Yarrowia lipolytica: one gene and its partner. The protein of the gene in region 1 interacts with the protein of each later gene in a pairwise test. Links are inferred from orthologs where the notes say so. Each region holds a gene or a part of one and is shown on either strand. Other genes may lie near its edges. The genes, in order: YALI1_D21565g and YALI1_E23313g.

Region 1 (3,654 bases):
TGTACATACTGAACATACTTGACAATTGTGTAGGGCTAGAGGTGTCCATTTTCTTAGGTAAGACTTGCTCATATCACTGGAGATCCACTCGATTACTTTACAGTACATAATAACCGACCAATCGCTTCAAATTCGTATCACATTCATACATTCTGATCTCGTGTAAAGTTCCATATCATCCTATCTCCCGTCTCTCATGTAAGCCACCAAGCCACACATTGCAATAGGCATTCTTTGGGCTTATTCATGGCAAATATCATCATACGCCACCAATGCTGTACATTTAATCGGATGAACAATTTGATAGAGAGTGTGGTCTTTCTTTGGTGTCTTCTGTGCATCATATTGATATGTGTGCAACCTGATGTGCATGCTTCAGACGGAAATGACGTCATTCTGTTCACACCCATTCCTGAGCTGTTAAATTTCGTCTTCCAATCCCCTGTTTTCGCCATACTACCCTCCTTTCTCCACAATATGAATCTCATACTCGTGGCTTATCCCCACTCTCCGACTTTAGCCACACTTGTCGGACTCCGAAGAAGCAGAAATATGGGACGATAATGATTGATTGTTTCGTAATGTGGCTAATCCAGCTGTTCTGAGCCGTTCAGAGCTCCCTCTGCTTACGACTATGAGCTTAGCACGACAAATAGAGCACTTTTTAGATGCGTCTCGCTGGTGTTGATTCTTCACCCATCATGGCTACCCCATGTATCAATAAATAACTATGCTATATACCACTAAATACTCAAGGCCAGCTTCTCCAAGGTCTTGATGTTTTTAGCAGCTCCGTCAGCGCTGTCTCCCTCAATCTGCATCTTGGCTCGTCCAGCATTTAGACCCTCCAGCAAGACACAGGCCTTGCAAACGGCATTATGAGATAAATAGCCACACTTGGTGCATCTGTTGGAGAGCCCAAGGCTGGAATCAAATGCTAGAGGTACCGAACAGCCACCGGAGGGGACAGGTTTTTCCTCCACCTTGGCCTTCACAACCACAGAGCCCTTGCCTTTCTTCTCCTTCTTCTTCTTGAGCACAAAGGCTTCTCCAGAGTGAATGATGTCAATGATGGTAGACGGTCTAATGGCCTCCAAATTTTTGATCAGCGTACGAGCCGTGCCCCGGAATGCCTCGGGAGAGTATGTGCACTCGGTGGAAAAGTAGTCGAGCTTCTTGTAATGGGCATAAAGCACAATCTCCTTTTCATATGCGTACTTAAGAGGCTTACTTCTCTTGACAGGAGAGTCATCTGAACCAGTCACCAGTTCGGTACATCTATCCAGACGAGCAGTATCGCCCCGTAACAAGTTCATCAGCACTGTCTCGGCCATATCGTCAGCATTATGACCTGTGACGATATGTGCGATTCCTAGCTTGGCACTACCTCTATCAAGAGCCTGTCTTCGAAACACTCCACAGTAGGTGCAGTTGTTCTTGTTGCCGATCTGGGCCACAATCTGGTCCATGCTCCACCCGTACAGCTCACTGTAACTGACCACCTCCAGATCCATGTCGTACTGCACCTTGTTTCGCTTCACCGTCTCCAGAGAGTCGTCTCGGTAGCCATGGATACCCTCGTCGATAGAGAGCAGCACAAAGTCCACACCATAGTTGTACCGCTCATTCAGCGTTTTCATCACGTGCGCAAGCACCGTACTGTCTTTGCCACCACTGGCTCCAATGGCCACCCGTTCTCCCGGAAAGAAGAGGTTTGATTCAACAATCGTGTTGTGGATTTCGGTCTCAAACACGTTGTAGAAGCACGGTTTGCAGATGGGTTGCAGCGTCTTGGGTCGCTTCAGCATGGCCTTGCGGCACTCGCACAGCACACACAGCATTTTTCCGATCTTCTTGTGTTGTAGAAGGAGAAACGGCTAATTACTCAGCATTTTTCAAAAAATCACCCAGGTTGCGTTTTATACGCATGTTAAATGCTTATTTAGTAAGTTTATTTATGGTGGTTGTGGGTTCGATCCGGAGCCGCGTCAAAATGTTTTAATTTTGATATAATTTTGATATAACGCGCTTCTCGCATATCTGAGGAGCTTTACTGGCTTGTATAACCAAATGGTATTGATTTCAGCCTCATTCGAATCTATATACATCTAAACACGTGTGATCGTACGGCGCTGTTCCTGTTTTTTTTTTTTTCTTTTGTTTTTTTTTTTGCGAATTTTATTTTTCCGTGGATCCACACTAAGGTTATTTTCGTGCAGGGTGGTATTGGTGACGGGTCCTGTTGAGCCGCTTAATTCCATCTATACCGTCAAACAAACGCCATCACTGCGTTCCTCTCGTTTCCAGCTCTTGATTCGTATCTCTAACGATCCGCATTATCGTCTGCATTCTTACAAACCGCTCCATATCGTGGCTTAAGCCACATGCACGCACACCAAAAAGAACATAAAAAGAAAGAAAAGAAGAAAAGAAAAAGAAGAAAAAAAACACCCTGGACGAGTAGATCTGTAATGACATGATGGTTGGGAGCTTTCCTCTTACTGCGTTCTGAACCCCACATCTACCACCATGGCGACCATTGCAATTGATAGCAACCCTTTTCAGTCTCTGAAGGCGCTTTCTGAACCCCACTTTGACACTGAGCGTCCTCGAATGGTCCAGTCTTCTCCCTACACGGGTCAGGCTCACCTGCTGGACCTCGGAGGGGTGCCCCAAAACCTCCATGAGATTGTGGTTGCCCTCCGGGACCTTTTCCGGGCCGTCAAGCCCGATTATGCTGTAGGTGACTACATCGAGTCGTTCCCGTTTGAAGACCTGACTCCCCTGGTGCCCGAAGGCGTCACTCTTCACTGCGTGGCTTTCCGATCCCGGCTGTTTGAACACGTGCGAACCTCCCACGATATGCGTCAGAAGCTCTCCGACCTCGACGAGTCTTCTCATGCCGAGGCTAACAACTCTGGAGGTCTGCTCAAGTACTGGTTTGGCGTGCCCGACGAGGCCGGAAACAATCTGGCCACCTGTGTGTGGATCAGCAAGAAGCACGCTGACGACGCCACCGCTCATCAGCGTCATAATGCCGCCGCCAAGACGGTCCGAGGCTGGTATGAGAACTGGCAAGTAGAGATCTACGAATGGTCTCGGGCAGGACTCACCCGGGTCCGATAACAAGTTGCACAACGTACAGGGGCATCCCAGGATGAACGCGCCGAGACGAAGACGGCCGTCGTCCGAATCCGTTGGCTGTATTATTGATATTGTCTCCTCATGAGAATGGGTGGATTGATGATTCTTTAATGGCCGTCAGTGTTGCTGAACAGGAGCTGGGTCTGGGTGAAGCTATAGTACAAATCTCGTGCTATAGCATTTTTCAAGTCCTCCCTGAACAAGCCCCGCTAACCCCTTCTGCAGCACTTTCAAGGGTACTACGTCTGTGCATCATACCTAGCTAGCTACAAGTAGTTCAGGTACAAGGCACGGTCCTGAGTCACAAGTCGCTCAAGTCGTTCGAACGAAAGACATTATTTATATTATAGATCAACATGTTGTTGAAGATAAATACTTGTTTTGCTGTAGACGGTGAAGTGTCTCATATTGTAGCTACGGTACTACCTGCACTTGGTATGTCTCACTAGCTACTCTCTTTAGATCTTTTAGGTGAGTATATCTTGAGAAGTGGCAATCTCAGAGATACTC
Region 2 (2,939 bases), on another chromosome or scaffold:
CACACCTATTGACAGCAGGAGTTATCAATGTCAGCAGACAACACGAGTGTCACAATCCATTAACGTCCGCCACCAACAGGTGTGCTTGGAAAAGAAAAAATCTGTCACGCAAACCTTGGTCATGGCTCAGCTTAACTTCTCTTCTTCACCTTGACCTTCTCCTGGTCGAGATGGTGCTTGGGAATCCAGCTCTCATCGTAGCCCTTGGGTCCAGTCTTGACGCCGGAGCCAGCAGGAACCACAGGCTTGGCTCGAACGGGCTTCTTCTCCTGTCCGTAGGTGCCGGTAGCGTATGGGATGGCGTACACGTTAACAACGTAGTATCCCAGAGCAGCGGCGGTGATTCCCAGCACAATCTGGGCAAACAGGAACTTGAAAGACAGAGGAGAAACATAGGGGTCGACAATCGACACGGGGCCGTCAAAGGCGTGCACCTGGTACACCTCGTTGCCGTACTGGATGTAGACCTGGATGACGTTTCGGTAGACCTTGGCATCGAGGTTGGTCTCGAACTGGTGGGTCAGGGCCGCGGTCTTGCCGCTGTCGACCTTGATGGGTCCCACCTGGGTGCCCTGGACGCTGACCACCACCTTGTCGGTCTTGAGGTCGTAGAAGGTGCCTCCCACGGCCACCACAGAGATGGGGTCCTTCTCCTTGTTCTCGAACACCAGGTTGATGGGCACGTCTTCGCCGTTGATGAAGGTGTTGGCGACGAAAAATCCGGCGTCAGACGCCTCCACGTCCGAGTTGGAGCCGATCTGGGCGACGGCAGAAAACTGCAGATGAGAAGCCACGGGAATCTCAACGGGGCCGGCCTTCTTGCCCCAGGCAGATGCAGTGGAGGCCAGAGCCATGGCCGCAGCAACAAGACTGATCTTCATTTTGCGGGATTAGTGTAGTGTTGTGCAAGTGTTGTCCAAAAACAAGTGTGTACAGTAGATGTTGGTGGTGGGAGTAGAGTTGAATCTAAGTTTGAAAGATACGACAGGAACGACACACGAGCTGCTTGTGGAGCAAGTATGGAAAGAGTTTGGTGGATTATGGACACGCCATTAAATACATATTTCTATTCTGAGTAGATTGGCCTTTTCTGCGCCCAAAAAGCGTCCACTTTCGACGAAATAAACCCACCATGTCTTTTTTTTTTTTCTTTCTTCTACATACAGTACACACACTATCTCAGACAACATACGGCACTCTGACTCAAGAAGTGACTGGTGGATGCTGATGGAACGCCGTGGAATTTCGAATTGACGGGGAAAATCCGCGCGGAAAAAGACAAGAACCACATACGCTGGGTAGCCACTCCAGGCGTTCACGTGACACCCACATTTCCCATAGTCAGTCCATTTTATGGCAGGCCTCTCCGTTTTACTCTGCTGTTCTGACGCCATTCCCCATAACTTCAACCTAATGTGGCTGCTTAGTAATGGTGGTTTTTTGCTTAGTAATGGTACGGTAGCTTAGTAATGATGTGACTGCTTAGTAATGGTGAGTAGCTGCTTAGTAATTGTGGGAGGGGTTGGGGGCGTGAGGTGAGAGGGGAAAAACTGTTGTAATGTGGATCTAGTTACGTGTGAGTATAATTACATAATTACATGTTGAGTCGAAGTACCAAAAGTGTTTTATGAAGCATTGGTTGAGTAGTTCACAAGTTTCTGACCGTTTCTGACGATTTTGGTAATTTTTTTATCTTTTCCCTCAAATTGTCTCAAAATTTTCAAGTTGTGTCCTCGGTGAGATTTGAACTCACGTCTCCAAAGTACACTTTATAAATGTCAAGTACAAAAATAACTATATATCAATTTTTTGTTGAATATTAATAAGTAACGAAAACAATCGCAATAAGGCAGCCTTGACGCTGAAATTTGAAATGATGCATTAATCAGTCATATTATATATCAAGGAGCAGTTCAGATGTCGCCACTACTTCTCTTTTAGCCACAAAAGCAACAGAAAGATGCCCCTCGTCGTAACCCTAATCTACTTGTAGGCAGAATCAAGATCAAGTGCCTATATTAATAAAAGCATGCATCATCTTCTTGCCTATACCAACCGCACACCATGCAAATTACTGTGGAATTCAGGTGAGTAGCAAGAGGCGCAGGAAACACCCGCGACGTCAACTAACCCAGTGGAGGGCTCGAAACCGCCTTCGACGGCAACAAAAAGCACGTGCTGGACGTGCCGGAGGGCTCCTCAGTCAATTGGCTGTTGCACCATATGGTGGAGACTCTGATGCCGGATCACAAGCGAGAAGAGGGCAAAAACATCTTCTTGCAGGACGAAAGTGTGCGTCCCGGGGTGTTGGTGCTCATCAACGATTCGGACTGGGAGCTGGAGGGCGAAGACCAGTACATTTTGCAGCCCCGAGATGTCATCATCTTTGCCTCAACTCTTCATGGAGGTTAGAGGAAAAGAGGGGGAGAGAAAGAGAGCTGGGTCAAAATGAGCCGATAAGCATGGGTCGCGGAAGAACCGACTTACAGCAGTCTCAATGCCGCCCCGATAAGCCCATTTCCTTCCCACTTGGCTGGGAGCAGCGTGAGGGTGAGAGTTTCTTCTTCTCGGAGAACCACCACATCCACGGGGTTCTGTGTTAGCAAACAAACAAACAAACAACCTGTTCAGAGTCACATAGCCAACCCATCCATGTCATAATATAATACTCACTCCTTCAACAACCGCGAGAGGCAAGGCTTGAGGGATACGAGGAGTAGTAGCCTCCACGTTTCCCAGTCGTACGATTTTGTCGTTGATTTTGAGTCCCACCGAAGAAGCAGGCGAGCCATCGGACACCACGCCCACGACGGCAAAGGGGACCACGTGGTCGCTGCGCGTGGCGGTAGGTGTAGCGGTAGGTGCAGAAACGGAGCCATTAGTAGTAACAGCAGTACCATCACCGTTTGACTTGGTCTGCTCCTTCTGGTTCTGCCAAT

What was found.
Region 2: the proteins of YALI1_D21565g (region 1) and YALI1_E23313g interact in binary tests that used the Saccharomyces cerevisiae proteins (3 or more experiments, as listed by UniProt). The link is inferred for Yarrowia lipolytica from reciprocal best matches to the Saccharomyces cerevisiae genes NCS6 and URM1.

Annotation. Positions count from the first base shown.
Region 1 is NC_090773.1:2,154,704-2,158,357, reverse strand, and holds YALI1_D21565g (uncharacterized protein), read right to left. Parts: upstream 1,842-3,654; coding exon 744-1,841; downstream 1-743. Other genes in the region: YALI1_D21553g (uncharacterized protein), read right to left, coding at 2,284-3,033. UniProt on the Saccharomyces cerevisiae protein: Plays a central role in 2-thiolation of mcm(5)S(2)U at tRNA wobble positions of tRNA(Lys), tRNA(Glu) and tRNA(Gln). Directly binds tRNAs and probably acts by catalyzing adenylation of tRNAs, an intermediate required for 2-thiolation.
Region 2 is NC_090774.1:2,330,471-2,333,409, reverse strand, and holds YALI1_E23313g (uncharacterized protein), read left to right. Parts: upstream 1-2,064; coding exon 2,065-2,087; intron 2,088-2,135; coding exon 2,136-2,412; downstream 2,413-2,939. Other genes in the region: YALI1_E23325g (uncharacterized protein), read right to left, coding at 132-881; YALI1_E23302g (uncharacterized protein), read right to left, coding at 2,484-2,594, 2,674-2,939.